Drosophila melanogaster: one gene and its partners. The protein of the gene in region 1 interacts with the protein of each later gene in a pairwise test. Each region holds a gene or a part of one and is shown on either strand. Other genes may lie near its edges.

Region 1 (3,581 bases):
CAGAAATTCCAGAAGAGTGATGCAAATCCAGCATTAGCATATCACCCATAGCACATAGTCCCCTTTAAACCACATAGAACCACATATATCATTTGTGCTTCGTATACGGACTATAGACCCGAATGGAGTACGTAACGTACAATAACTGCATATTGTTGGTATATTTTGGCTTTATTTGGCTGATACGCGCGTCTCATTCGCAGCCTGCTGATAACGTTTTTTAGCCACCATTTGATTGGTCGATTTGGAGGTACTAAGATATTCGAATATCTTATGAACAGATTTTCCAAAGACCGCTTAAGCTGATGGGCTTTTTTCACTTTCGATTCCTGGAAAAAGCTTATTGGTATTTTTAAGCCCGGAAGTTACTTAGAGCTAATCAAAGCAAATACCTCGTTATTGAAGAATGAAAAGCTTTTAGATAATATGGACTCAACATGTTTTAAGATGGCCCAGAAGAGCAGAACTTCAGGTATCAAATAACTACCAATATCTTGTGTAGAATTTCTTAAAACCATAAAAATAATTTACTTGTTTTGTTTTGGTTTTAGATTAAAAATCTCGATGTTCTTTATTTCTGAAGGCAATTAGTGTTTTCACCAAGACGTTTATCGTTTCAAGGGCTTATGTAAGTGTGTGCACTTGGTTCGCCTTTTGAAACGTTCGAGCCACTTTGTGAAGACACTGCTAACATTAGCGTACAACGAATGCATTATTTTAAAATTCGGCATCTTAGATATTAACTAAATTAGTTAGGGCTTTTCCTACAGCAATGTCTTTGGCCTTACGACAGCTGGACGTCCTCCAGTTGCCGCAGCTTCTCATTGGAGGTGATCTCCGCCTCAACCACCTCGCGGCGGAAGACGACCTTGTAGGCGTAGGCGGTGATGGCGGAGGAGCTCAGCGGGGCCAGCCAGTAGATCCAGTTGCTCTCGAAGTGCTTGTTCCACAGGGCGGGGGCGAACGACCTGGCCGGGTTCATGCTGCCGCCGGTGAAGGGACCCTAAAACCAATGGTAGGGAACGAGGTTAATAATCCGTTTCGAGGCAGGTAAGGATTAGCCAACTGTTCGCTTTAACTTACGGCAGCGCAGGCGAGACAGGCGATGGCCAGGCCAAATCGAATGCCCACGGAGTCATGGAACTTGGAGTTGCGCGGATCCCACACTCCGCAGCAGACGATGACCAGGATGGAGGTGATTACGAACTCGATGCCGAGGGCCTGGCCCGTGGTTACGCTGGTGTGGGGCAAGGTCACGCAGAGCCCAGCGCCCACCGTAAGTGTGGGCGAGGGAAGCAGGACCATGAGCAGGCCGTAGCCGATGAAGGCGCCCAGCATCTGGGCGGCGAAGTAGGCAAATGCCATGCGCAGGGTGACCATCTCGTAGATGTAGGCGGCCACGGTCACGGCGGGATTCAGATGGGCACCGGAGACGCAGCCAAAGCACTGGATGGCGATGAGGACGGCGAAGCCGAAGTTCAGCACAATCTGCAGATGGTTGTTGGGAAAGAGGTCCGTCTTCACGCAACCCATGCAGCCCAGGAAGACCAGGATGCCGGTGCCGATGAGCTCGCCGAGGAAGGCGGAGATTTTGTCCAGCGTCGATCCCTTCATTTTGAAGACCTTACAGCAACTGAAATGGTCAGAGAAGCGCTTGAATAATGCCACACTAAAAAGCGAGCTACCCTCTCTGTCGCACGCCATCGTCCATCTCTTTCTCGACTCTAAGTAGACCTGCTTAGGAACTTCATCAATCATATCCTATCTAAGACCATCCTATCGTTTCGCAAAGCCCTCCTCGATTTGCACCTAATCCCCGCGACACACTTCTACAATCTCAACTATTGTGCAACTTTGTAGTTAGTTTGTCAAGCTTCTAGACCTTTGCAACTGCTGTTCTCCTTCGGCTGCCTGGACGATTTCCTGCTGGTTTTCCACCCCTTGCGGATCCATCCCCTGCTGCTCGAGGTTCATTGACTTGGCATCGATTTTCCAAACACCCTTTTTTGGAAGCACAACTTATGCTGCTGATCCGACAAACGATGCCTGCTGCGGGAATGCCATCGATGGCTGGACTGACATGAAGTAGCCGTGTACTAAATATAGTAGACTTGTGATTGCCGTTCGGCTGTCAATTGGGTTTATAGATAAATGGCCGAAAAAATGCGAATCAAATCACGACATGGCCATAAAACAATAACCAATCTTTTTCAACCTTATCGCCTGAGCGCCACTCGAGTCAATTGGAGTTCACTACGTTGCGAATTAATCCGTTTATTGTGATTGGTAAATCCCTCTTTCTGGTAGCCAGAACTCTTGTTTTTTGTTTTTTGAATTTCTTTGGTTTCGAGTGCCAGATAATTACCGAATCTCGTGGCTCATTTTGACACTTGTCCAATTCTTTGAGATCGCACTATATAATCAATCTTTTCCGTAGCTGGTGAAAATTCACAAAGCGGCAGCGCGACTGTCAATGTCAATCTGAGGCGGTGGAGTAGCCATAGGCAAATATTTATATCTGTGTCTATATAATATTGCGTAAATCAAAAGCCCATTTTTAGCCCCTGTGAGAGAGCAGCAACACACACAGATACACACACACACATATGAAGGGGACCGACCACAAGCACACACACACACACACACACACAAAGGCGTGGAAATTAGCGAATCCTACTGGTGAGCATAAAAAAGTCAAGTGTCCAGAATTTATGAGCATCTTAAACGCTCATTCGCTGCTCTCGTTCGCTTTTGCGATTATCTCTGGAGCGATGCTCCTTCTCGCTCCCACTCTTCCTTTACCAGTCACCTGGCTTAAATCATTATAAAATGGTAGAAACAATACGGATGATATTCCATGGAAACAAGGTTAGATATTAACACTTGGTGTGCAACTGACATACTGGTTTTGCTCTATCGAATTCATTCGACTTATTCACAGCATTTTATGAGAATTATAATATTAAAGGTGGTCCTTACATTTGTTTTTTAAGTAAATTATCATTTTCATTTAACTTGTTTCTTACTATTTGTTTGCCATGAGAAAGGCAAATCTGCTAAGCAATGATTGCTAGAATTAGTAGTAACCATAGTTCCTAAAATACGACATTTTCATTGCGTGTCATTCAAACTTAGCACTAAACTGTAATTGATAGCGAAAATCCCCATAATTATTTTCAGTGTAGTTGGTCGGTGGGCGGTGGGCATAACACTGTTATGCTGTGCAAGTGCGTGACGCGCTCGCAATTGAAGCAGGCGGCATATTGCGTATTGATAACAGCAGAGTGGCACACTATCAATTACCACCGTCGCTTCGATTCCTATCAATTGCAATTGCTGCAATTGAGGATGCGTTGCGTGAATCGGGCTACCACGCAATGTGGCAAACAAATCACGGCAAATCTCGGCACGCCTGTCGATCAAATTGCACGCAATTTGCGTAGTTATGTGTCTCAATAACAATTGGATCGTCAATAAATAATAACAATTTAAAGCAAATATTTTCAAAAGCCCTGCTGTTGCACACACACCCAGTACACACAGTGGCTCAGGTGATCAGAACTTTTGACCCTCACTGACCA
Region 2 (5,003 bases), on another chromosome or scaffold:
TGCGAGTGTGAGTGTATCCACACCCTTGCACAGAAGTTCCAGAGAGAGAGAGCGAGAGCGGGAGAATTGCACTGGAGCGAGTGAGCAACAACAAAGGCCGTCCACTGTGTGTTGTTTAAATGCAAATATGCGGTTTATTAATTAAAACAAAGGCAGCTATAAAACGTAAAAAATACAAAAACGAGAAGCAAAAAAACTCCATTTCCTCCCAACATACACACACACGCACACATGGACATACGATACGCACACATTCGCACATGTACAGTTGCAGCAGGAGAGGCAGCAGCGTTGCCAGAATACCTTGAAATTGCAGCCCGGCAATATTGCACAAATGCAATGGCGCGCCAGCATTTCCATTTGAATTTTAATCGCTCTGTGCCCGCAATGCATATGGCAGAGAAAATGTAAATTAATTGCACAATCTACGAGCGCGACACTCAGGAATGCTAGCAATGCGGGCCACCGCCTCAAAAGCGAAACTTATGCCCAGTTGTTGTTGTTGTTGCTGCTGTGCTTATTAATGGGCGCCGCCTTCAATGTGGTGTGAAAAAAATATGCATTCGGTTTATCATCAATAAAGAAACAACTTCTGCTCTTGTTTACACTGACGAATGTGTGTACACAAAGGAGGAGAGCAGGCAAGAAATGCAGCCGAGCGCAAGCAGCAGGGGGGAAAACTGGCTTAGTCAGTTGCATTTACAGTCAGTCACCCTCCCTTTTTTTCCATGATTAATGCCGCGCTGCAGCAACAACAAACCATGCCAGAAATGTCAAAGGTCCCCAGTTTGTTGAACTCTTTTTTTTACCCACCCCCCACTCCCTCCTTCCTACTAATCGAATGCCGCCGTATTTTGGGCAGCCTGCGCCTTATCAGTGGAATTGGGAATAATCGTGAAAATGGAAAGTAATTTCCAGCTGCGGGCCGAAAAGCGGCCACTGACGGACTGTCAATCATAATTGCTTCGTGGAATGCAACATATGGGGGCGATTGCTTATCGGCATCTGGAAGGCGACGGCATCAATTAACATTCCGCGCAAGGGGCTCGTTTTTCATTAACCAATGTAATTAATAAGATTAAACAGCAATTGCGTCGCCAGTTTTTGTGCGGGTGACCGCACCCATTTCTCCCCCGGCCACTACCACATACTACACGCTTTTCCTCTCGCACAGAAAAAATATGAAAAATATGCAAACCGCATCGCGCGCTTTAAAAAGTGAAGGAAAAAACAACAAGCCAAAATGGAAGGCACCATTGGAAGTCGTTGACAGTTGTTTGTCTGCCACTCCCCCCACCCAGCCCCCAACACTATTACAGCTACTTAACGGATAAGAAAAGAAAGGGAAAAGGAGAAGGGGAGTTGGAAGGCGAAGAGGGAGACAGCTATTTCTGAGTCCAGCTTAAACTGCATCAATTTTTATTAAAAGCAATTACAAGCTGCTGCTGCTGCTCCTGCTAAAGTATACAGAGAGAAAATTTGCTGTTGTGTGGATGGAGTGAGAGCACAGTTGCATGGATCTCGAAGATGCTAAGAAAAGATGCATGCAGCGCATAGAGATGACAACTTTTCGTGCAGTGCAAAAAGAAGTCGAAAGAAAAGTGAAATAAAAAAAAAACAGTGCAGCAACAAAAGACAAAGAGCAGACGGCGAGAGAGGGAGCGAGACAAAAGGAGAGAGTCGGCAAGTGCAAAATTTGAAGCACGACTTTTGCAAAGGGGAGCACAAAGAGATGAAGGGGTGAGGGGCGGCGTCGGCGCACACACAAATTTTATGTATACGCTGTGCACACACACACGCGCAAAGGACCAGGCTACAGGTTCACACACACAGGCATGGGCGCTGGGAGAGAGAGGGAAGGCGGCACAAATGTATCCCTTTTCAGTTACGGGGCAGGGCAGGTCACACACACACATGCACACGGGCAGGCTTAGCAGCACACCATGATGGCGGCGCTGGCTCTCTTCCCCGAGCTCTCTCGCTCTCTCCCGCAGGAGCTGGGAAAAAATCTGTACCGCAAAAATGCCTTGAAAATCTGGGATTTCTGGAATATCTGAGAGTTTTCGGCTCTTCCTGGGATTCTACCTAGTCCGTTTTTGGGTTTTCCCTAATTATCCTGGGTACTTTGAAGGATGCCAAATGATGGCTCGATTTATAATGAGGTTTTCATGAATTTTCTATGGTTTTTTTCCCCGGATTTATGACCACCACTCACCTCGTATTTCAGGCCCACAAGACGCAGCCAGGTCTCCACCTTCAGGCAGTAGGGCGACAGGGAGGGCAGCAGTGGGGTGCGCGAGAACTGGTACAGATAGATGATGTCCTTCTCGAAGTTGGTCTTGTGCACATTGAATTTCTGGGCGGGCGGGGCTTCCGATTTGGTCGCCACGGGTGCTGCCACCGCCTCGTCCTTTTTGGGCTCCTCGCCATCCTGCTGCTTGTCCTGCTTTCCGGCCTCGCCGTCCTTCTTCTCGCCATCGGCATCCTCAGCCTTCTCCACTGCGGGGGCGGCAGCTGGAGCGGCCGCTGAGTCCGCTGGCGGGGCCGCTGACTTTTCCGGCTCCTCTGATTTTTCCGCCGCCGCCACTGCGGGCGTTTCCTCGGCGGGTATTTGGGCCACTTCGCTTGCCATTTCGATTTGTTGCTTTTGTTTTTTTTTTTTGTTTTTCTTTACTTTTCGATCCGCTTTTCTTTTTGTTAGCTACTCTTGCTTTTCGCTAATTGAAGTTGCGCTTTCTTTCAGCTAAAAAGATTTCGGCTTCGCACTTTTCCTGCCACTCGCACACATACACACACGCGAGAGAGAGGGAGAGCTAGAGAGCGAGAGAGAAACCACCACTGCGATTCGTTTCGTTTCGAACTCGGATTCGGGTTTCGGGTTTCAGCTGCACGATAGGATATCTTGGCTGGATGCGATTCGCTTTCGGATTCGGATGGATTCAGGAGCCGCTGTCTCGACACCGCCGCAACCGCTCTCGGGAGTTTGAAAATTTGAAATGAGCGGATTCGCGTTGCGAAGGCGAGCTAGCGTTGCAGGCAGTGTGGCCAGATGCCGCGTGCGAACGTATTCTCGAATGCAATCGGCCGAGTGCAGATGCACTAAAAATAACCCACTTCCAGTGACTGGAAATTAAGATCAAGGAATAGATTTTATAAAAACTTATATGAGTAAAAATTTTAAAATTGTGGAGTCAACCTAAATTATAAGCAACTAATTTATAACACAAGTAAAGAATGATATTAAGTAACTTTTTAAATAATATTCCATTATGCTTACGCTCAATTTATGAACAAATGTTTTCTCGATCCTTAGGTAAAGTTTCGAGTTTCGCGACTAGATTTATTAAAATTAAGAACATCTCCATTTATGTACACATTTAAAGATTTATGAGCGGTAATATTAGCTGGTTGACTGAACAGATACCCTTTTAAAACTACTATCAATAGAACCTTTTTCTGTATTACCTATTTCGACTCTATCAATAACTGTTACAATAGTTAAGTTAATTCAAAATATAATATTAGTTTATGATTTAATTCACAAAAATTGATCTGAACTTTCTCTCTCATTCAGCTTTCAATAATGTTTTATGTTTATTTATAACGTTTGTTAGTTTATTTTAGGAGACAAACTATTTTGTTTTGAGAAACTGCAAAGCGCCATCTGGGAGGGAGTGGCAGAAGTTTTGAAATTTGAATAGGGAACGGATGGCACCTCCCGACTTTTGCAGAAATCAGCATGGCAACTGTGGAAGTACAGAAAATTGCAGTAATTTACTTCAATTTTAAAACTATAAATTTTAAAATTTGAAACATATTGAAAAATTTAAGACATTGAAAGAGCATTTTTAAAATGCAAATATGCGAAAGAATTGATCCCATTTACTTTTAAATTTACAACTGCTTACGATTGCTGAAAAATATCGCCAGCCGCTGTATTCGATAGTCACTATAGGCAGTAAATAGTCCATCTCTATCATTTTCACAAACAAAGATTTGTTTAATTTAATAAAAACGCAGTTTGACTAAAGTAAAAATCTAAGTTTATTGCTGCAACAATGGGAGCTGCTTTGGGCATCTGTTCAGCCGCTCAGGTAAGAAAATTGCGAGCTAATTAGCCAGGTAAAATTCTTTACATTGGCTACAAATCAATAAAAGCAGACATATGTTTCAAATGCGGAGAAATTCAACATTTTATTAATTTCACAATACTCATGAATGCTGCTATGATTTTCATCTAAAAGAAAGATTTAGCTTGCAATTTGAGCTATTAGATACTTTAATGAATTTTTAAATTTTTAATAAGTTGAAAACAATATGAAAAATGTATTGCAAACTTAACTTTCGATGGTTGATCATTCAATTAATCCGGATTATTGACAAAACTTATTAGCAAGTTGGATCAAATAGAATAATTCTTCAATTGCGTCTCCATTTAATACTTAATTCTTGCATTTCCAGTGCGCCATGTGCTGTGGAGGCACTGCAGCCAGCATGTGCTGCTCCGCCTGCCCGAGCTGCACCAACGCCTCCTCATCGCGCTTCATGTACGCCTTCATCCTCCTGGTGGGCACCGTACTGGGGGCGATTGCGCTGTCCCCTGGACTGCAGGACACCCTGAAGAAGATGCCCTTCTGCATCAACTCCACCTCGTCGTATAGCTCGGGAGCACTCAGCGCTGTCTCGGGAGGATCTCTGCAAGTCGACTGCGAGTATGCACTTGGTTACATGGCAGTATATAGGGTTTGCTTTGGCATGGCCTGCTTTTTCGCTCTGATGTCACTGATTATGCTGGGTGTGAAGAGCTCCAGGGATCCGCGTTCGCACATCCAGAACAACTTTTGGCCACTGAAATTTCTGATCTGCTTTGGCGCTGCGATTGGAGCCATCTTTATTCCGGATGGATCCTTTGGTCCGGCCATGATGTGGGTGGGTCTAATTGGTGGCCTGGCCTTCATACTCGTCCAGCTGGTCATCATTGTGGATTTCGCTCACTCGCTGGC
Region 3 (3,640 bases), on another chromosome or scaffold:
AACCCATAAGTGCTGAAGCTAAACTGAAAATAAGAAAGAAGACTGCCTGAAATGCTTGAAAGAATAGAGTTGTCCAAAACAGCCAACCATATTGCTAAATACATATATTTTGTAAAAACCATCTTTAATTATATTATATACATACCGATAAGACTGCAAATATTAGCATGAACGATGCCAAGATAGTTAACAAATCGGGAGACATTTGTATCACAGTGTAGAGAGCTTGTTCTGGGTAATAAAACTAGATTATCAAATGGAATCATTGGAACTGCTTAGTCACTAAATTACCTGGGAATTTGTGCTGCATTTCTCTGAAATAGGTTCCTATCAAAACATTAAATTTAATGCAAAAAATAATACTAATGCCAATGTGAATATATATTTACTATTTAAACAAAGGAGCATATAGTCAATGTTCATGCCAGCCAAAAAAATTCCAGCCAATGCAATCAGTATACATCCCATTTGCAAGGATATACAGAAGCAAAATTTTTTAGCCAGAATCATAATTTCAGACGTTTTGACAGGAAATGCAAATAAGATATTCTGCAAAATATTTTTATTTTTAGAATTTCTTTTAAGCCTGAATGTTAAAAAATTATACGTATATTTTAAATTATCAAAACAATTCTTTGTTAATTTCAATGTACAAGATTTGTTTATGAACCACAAGTCGTATACGTAATTTATGTACATTGCAAAACTTTTAAGCAAATACTCATGTTTAGCTCGCCCAGATGATGGCGCCAAATTTAAACGAAATTGCCTTCACATTTTCCGCCATATCTTCTTTATTGTGGTATTAACTTTTTTGCATAATTACAACTTAAGCAATCTGTATTATGGCCTCATTAGCATTAGCCTAGAATTTCCAGCCCGATGTGTGTCGTGTTTGTCAGGCACGCGTGGAATCGTTTTCAGTTCTCATCAAGATGCTAATGAAATTATAAAGAAAATTGAGTCTGCCATATTAGCACAGTAAAAGCATCATCCTCTCACTTGATGAGCATGGGGTAAAGAGCACGAAATGCTATTGCTTTTCATCATCTTAAAAATCAATTTCGCTGATCTCAATTTAATTTTTAAGGACATCCTCTCATTTATCCACACAAACTGGTCTGAATTCATCTGGATGCGCTTTTACATAATAATACGTGTAGACTTTGAGCAAACAAAATAAATCGATTCCTGAAAAGCTGGAGCATAACTTACGAGAATAGAGATTTTTAATATATATGTTTACCCAACGTCACTAAATTCACGAAAACATAAATAATCGCAGAGACAGCACTTTTAAAGAACGGATTGCGAACATTTATCAAAGCATTGAAGATGATGTAGTACGATATCATATGAATGATGAACATGGCCATCCACACGAAAACGATCCTTAAGTACTTCTAAAAGGAATTTTATTAGAATTAAAAATATTGGAAGTGATTTTCTTACCGTCATAACAGATATCAGCAGGATAACTGCAGCTGCGATCATCAGAGCTATATGAAATACATTGAACCATTTCGCATAAACATCAGTCTTGAGTGCTGGTATTTGGGTTTAGATGCTGTTCTTAAAATTCAGGTTTCCTTACTTTTCCAACTCACTGTTCTTGTATATAACCTCATCCACAGTAGTGCCTGCGTTAAGGAATCCGAAAAACAGTGTGTAGAATGAAACTATGATGCATCCAGAAGTCAGCGAGATGCAAAAGCAAAATTCTTGTCTGACCAGCTTTCTTAAAAATGGCATCAAAAATAGGAAAAATACGTTGCTATAAATTTTAGAAAATACAGTTCCATGTTTGACAAATAATGCCAACCGCTTTCAACTTTTAAACTCCATAAACTTCAACTTTCTTTCCATCAGCTGGCGAAACTGAATTGCTGCATCTCCTCTGGTTTTAGGTCACTGCAGTCTTCTGTCATTTTCAACAAAGTTTCGAACGACCTCGACCTCCCACGGAAACTTTAGCCTTTCGGAAAAGTTAGACAAAGTCCCTTGGTCTCTATTTTTTTCTTCATTATTATCCCCTGAGCAAAGTGAAACTGCTGCCTTTTCCTTGCCTAATGCGTTAATTGAAAGCAGCAGCCGTCTAAAAATTATGTTTTCAATAGACTGGAAAATAGGGGGTGATTTCCGAGGCTTGGGGTTTGGGATTATTAAAGATAGCTCGCATCATGGACTTACTTGAAGTGTTAAAGAGGATTTGTGTTGGCAAAAGTTCACTAATTTAAATTTAGTTCAAACAGTGACAAAATATGTTGCAAAGGGAATGCATTGGGCTTAAATTCCATAAATTAAAAAAGATGTTATTACCAAACAAGAATTGATTGGGTGGCTCAAGGGCAATATTTCATGGAAATGTGAAGACGAAGCCTAATAAGACAATATTAGATGGTGGTTTACTAATGAGCCTAATCAGATTAGTGTATTGTTTCCCAGACTTGATTATCTTGGTGCACCATATGGTTGATTTATTTTTGATTGATTGCAGCATCAATTTATTTGTCATCAATACCAACATGTTGGTGTTGATGCCCCATTAAATGTCAGGGAGAAAGAAAAAAAAAAAACAGAAAGTAGAGTAAGTTCAAAAAAAGGACATGTCACATATCATAAGCACCGCTCGAAGCTCCCAGCCAATACACAGATCGATGGAATCTCTTTCATCCACTTCCAGCAGCCACTGGCAGCTCATCTATCATCATTGCCACGAGTCCTTTCTATCCCGGAATGCTTCCACAGTATCCTGTATACTCTCTGCCCCGCTTGACACCCTTGCACCCCATCCCTGCCGTATTTATAGCATCTTAATTGAATTTCAATTTTCAATTTCGCTTTTAATTGAATTCAATGAAAAAGTGTCGATGAGACGGTATTCAGCATTGGTCCCATCCCCATCCCCATCCCCATCCCCATCCAACCATCCGTCCATACCCCCAGAACCCCATCCCAGCCCACTCCCATTCCCTGCACTTGTTGTTGATGCTGTTTATTCAGCTGCCAGTTGAGCACCGCCTGGCTGCCTCTTGATGGCGCCATTCACGCCACAAAGCGTACCGTCCCCACTGAGCTCCCTGCACTTAGAAAAAAAAAATCATTACCATCCTGGTCATTAAATATCAAACGGAATTAGCCATATTATTGCGAAGTCCGTATAAAAATAAAAGAAAATAAATAAAGGCATACAGATGTAATTTTATATTTTGGTATAATTTTAAATAAAAATGCAATCATTCGATTTTTCTGTGTACCTTCGAAATAGGTTTCAAACACCCAAAAACGAATTGTTTTTTGAAATTGCTGTTCCAATTATTTGATCCACAGCAAAATTCACCTGGTTCGTTAATTTAAAAGTAGAAGAATATTCGTTGATAGTGTATTTACTATTTAACAGGTTGAATGGAATATATTCTTGATTAGGATCACTAGCCGAGTCGATCTGGCTTTGTCCGTTTATCTGTCCGTTCGTATAAGCGAAAAATCTTTCATTGCCGCAATTTAAAAATGTACAATATAAATAAATGTATTGTATTTTATTATTGTATTATTGAACTAATTGTTTCTCACCAACTTATATTATTATGGCAAACATATTGTGAAATTTCTCCCTCGCACTCCCGCTATCTTAGTAAAG
Region 4 (3,432 bases), on another chromosome or scaffold:
CTGGCGGGGATTGCATCCGGGCTATACTCACTGGCAAGGGTAGGAACAACCAGATCCGCAGCTGCAGCCATTGTCTTCCAATCTCACACGCACACACACACAGGAACAAGCACGTCGGTGGTGTTGTTGCTGTTGTTTTTGTTGTCGTGTCGTCTGATGTACAATCAGTGTTGGTCAACGATTTCGTGCTTGAATTGGTCACACACGGTTGCCGTGTACGCGGTGTATCGATAAGCGATAGTAAACATGCATGGGCATTGGCGCCACAACGACACGTTTAAACATCAACCAAACCAAACCGAACGTATTTAGAACTCCAACAAAATATCTGCTCCACGTGAATTTAAAAACATTTTAGTACTAAAAAATTTGGAACAGAAACGCTAAGCATTTCGACTGCTCCAATCGAAGGTGTGCTGATGGAATCTATATGTTAGAACAATTATTTTCAAAAATCCAATCGCGGCATATAAAATATGAGCGGTTATTTTCGGATATTTGGCTAGGAAACGGTAGGAAATATTTAGAGTATATATTACATCTTAACACAGCTAAACATTCTTTATTGAACAAATAAATCCAAAGTTATATGAACACAATTTAAATCTAACCAACGAATTTGGCGATTAATTGTGTTTAAATCTATACACTTTCTGATCGCGAGTTTTTATCTTGTAACACGTTAAAATATATACATATATTCTTAATTCGAAAGCTGATTTAAGAGACTAAGAGCCGAACAGCCATTTACTACAAATCTAAATCAGATATTAATAACACCAGGAACTCACAAAATACATAGATCGAAGTGGAATACATATAATTTACATACAACTAAGATATTATATTCCGACATCATCGACTGATGAGATAGCTCTCTGACTAAAGACTTGCCCGCACTTAGTGGACCGTATGAGGCAACACCAAATCTTGGAATTTTAAACATTAAACTAATAGATCACACAAGTCTGTACATTCAGGTAGGGTGAGCCCAGGCTCGGCGCCACTTCAGCGATAGAGCCGCACCTGCTGCTTGAGATCCTGGTCGCTTATTCGGTCCTGGAGGTTCAATTCCGCCTCCTGTTTGCGCAGGAGCTCAAAGATGGCCGCCAGCTGCTCGCGCTCTATTCGGCGCTCCTCCTCGATTTGGCTGGGAGTCAGGGTCTTCTCCATCTTATGCTGGAGCCTCTTGGCCTTGAGCTGGCCCATCAGGTGGTTGTAGCTGTGCTCGGGCAGCTGTTCCTCGATTAGCTCAACTTCGCTTTCGGTGGAGTTCTCTTCGTAGGCCTCGTCATCGTCGGTTTCCTCCCCTTGCGGAGTCCGTGACTCGGAATCCTCCTCATCGCGCGGCTCGTCGGCCCCCAGGCCCTCGTCCTCCAGTTCCTGCAAGATAATGTAAGGAAATATTCCAGGAGACGTCTACTTCTTCCGGCAAAAACACCCACGCCTTTGTCCTTGAAGATGTTGGCGAAGTAGAAGGCGACCAAAACGCACAGCAGAAGGGTGACCAGCGCTACCGAGTAGTGGCCTGGTAGTCCAAGAAAGAGAACATCCAGCGAAGGCAGAAAATCCTGCATTTCGAACTCTTTTTGCTATTTGTTGTGACTGAGTTCACTATTCTTGTTTTTCTTGGGGCGCAGTGTGGCCGTTAGCTGCGAACGAAATATTGCCAAGCAGCGCTAAGCGGATTTTCAAAAGGTTTTTTTTTTAATATTTTATATATTGGAAAAGTGAAGTACCTAATCCAACTTTGTTTAGTAAACTAACACTAAACGCATACATTTTAACAATCAAGAAATGGTAAATTACAAAATGCTTTAATATCGATGAAATCCACGCAGTAGTAGATCATCACATCATTTAAATAAATATTCTTAAGTCTATTGGCTGATGTTCATAGCAGATGTGTCCGAGCTCACATCTGCAATGTGGAATGAGGCATCTTCGGCGGGCATGTCATCCTCATCGGTGTACAATCGGCGTAGGCGCTCCTTATAGCTTTTAAAGTATAAGGGTTATTAAATTCGGAATGCATGAACAAATTAGGGCGTCTTACAGTTCGCTATCAGGATTATTGGCTTGATTTCGGCACTTGTCCAACTTTTTCTCGATGGCCTTGACCTTCTCCCGATCGGGCTGCTGATATTGCTTCACCATTATGCGAATTTCTGTCGGGAAAAAGGCATGTAGGGCTGGGCGCACCATCTCACAGCACAAACTTACTTCGCACGGCATCTATGAGTCCGGGTAGCTTCTCCCTGGCGGAGACAAACAGAAGATCCGTCACATAGCTATCGAGATTCTCTTGCTCTCTGCTGGCCGCGTGGAGGACGGCAGCCAATGCAATTTGCGAAGGCGTATGCAGAAGACAGGCATCCGAGTAGTACGTGGAATCAATGAAACTATCAATATGTGGCCGCAGACGATCTGGATTCTGCATATTGCTGCGAGTCTGAAACAAACCAATATGAACGAAACAATCTGGAGAGCAAATGTGAATATATATCGCACTTTTATATCTATCAGGAAACCCTCGATGGGTCTGAACGGATTGTGTATGGTGAGGTAGTAGTTGAGCTGTCCAATCAGCAGTAATTCATTGGACAACACTATGTCGGTGGCCTTGTTCCTGTCGCCCTTGATGTTGTTTACGAACTGGTTGATGGACACGTTGAACTCCTCAACTTTGCAGGCAACGAACACGCATGTGGCTCTGAAAAGGTTTATACATTTTTAGAATGTTTTGCTTTTCAGCTGGGTGTTTGCTGCTCTCAGGTGAGCGTTCCTACAGAATCTCCTTGGGGTGATAGTCCATGGGGGAGTTGTTCAGATAGAACCGCTTGAAGTAGTGGAAGGCCGTGCCCACAACGCACTTGGGCATCGTCGGTTCGAAGCGGCGGCAGAAATCGAACAGGTAGATCTCGTACTGCTTCAGCAACAGGCGCTCCTCCGCCGACGTGAGAAAGTGCTCATTGAGGTCGCGACCCTGCGCCTCCTCCTCGTGCGACTCGATGTACTTGCTGTTCTGCTCCACGCGGAACTCCATGAGCTGGCCCTCATTGGCGAATGTCCAGGACCTCTTTTGCGAGCTCACAGGATACATCTTGCTCAGCTGCCGGCGAATTTATGCCGATTCGAAACTCAGACACCCTGCATGGTGTTACCGATTGCGGGACGGAGAAAAATACCAGTTGTGAAAAAATATTAGGGTGATTCGTACAATAGTCACTTTTATTTCATTGGAAATCAGAAGCGCAAGATTGGCAAAAATTGAGAACGTATAACTAACTGTATGGGCTATGATTTAATCAATAAGTGAACACGTTTTAATACAGCTACAAGTTCGAGTATAATTTTAGTAGGGAAAACATCATTTATTTTGGTTTTAGTTCTAAAATATTTATTAAATATAAATCAAAAATAACTTTTTAT

Evidence for each region.
Region 2: the proteins of Eglp4 (region 1) and fax interact in a two-hybrid assay, tested with the Drosophila melanogaster proteins (one large-scale study listed by BioGRID).
Region 3: the proteins of Eglp4 (region 1) and CG42263 interact in a two-hybrid assay, tested with the Drosophila melanogaster proteins (one large-scale study listed by BioGRID).
Region 4: the proteins of Eglp4 (region 1) and CG7407 interact in a two-hybrid assay, tested with the Drosophila melanogaster proteins (one large-scale study listed by BioGRID).

What each region holds. Positions count from the first base shown.
Region 1 is NT_033778.4:23,607,049-23,610,629, forward strand, and holds Eglp4 (entomoglyceroporin 4), read right to left. Parts: upstream 1,883-3,581; 5' UTR 1,759-1,882; coding exon 1,084-1,758; intron 1,004-1,083; coding exon 785-1,003; 3' UTR 544-784; downstream 1-543.
Region 2 is NT_037436.4:16,408,787-16,413,789, forward strand, and holds the start of fax (failed axon connections), read right to left. Parts: upstream 3,043-5,003; 5' UTR 2,633-3,042; coding exon 2,216-2,632; intron 1-2,215. Other genes in the region: Serinc (serine incorporator), read left to right, coding at 4,059-4,094, 4,462-5,003. UniProt on the Drosophila melanogaster protein: Together with Abl, involved in embryonic axonal development.
Region 3 is NT_037436.4:19,954,001-19,957,640, forward strand, and holds CG42263 (uncharacterized protein), read right to left. Parts: upstream 1,800-3,640; 5' UTR 1,753-1,799; coding exon 1,608-1,752; intron 1,548-1,607; coding exon 1,453-1,547; intron 1,404-1,452; coding exon 1,247-1,403; intron 1,192-1,246; coding exon 1,100-1,191; 3' UTR 547-1,099; downstream 1-546. Other genes in the region: CG42654 (uncharacterized protein), read right to left, coding at 1-94, 146-231, 292-327, 390-510.
Region 4 is NT_037436.4:21,821,677-21,825,108, reverse strand, and holds CG7407 (uncharacterized protein), read right to left. Parts: upstream 1,649-3,432; 5' UTR 1,578-1,648; coding exon 1,446-1,577; intron 1,384-1,445; coding exon 1,009-1,383; 3' UTR 538-1,008; downstream 1-537. Other genes in the region: eIF2A (eukaryotic translation initiation factor 2A), read right to left, coding at 32-71; CycH (cyclin H), read right to left, coding at 1,881-1,998, 2,057-2,168, 2,224-2,452, 2,512-2,713, 2,790-3,103.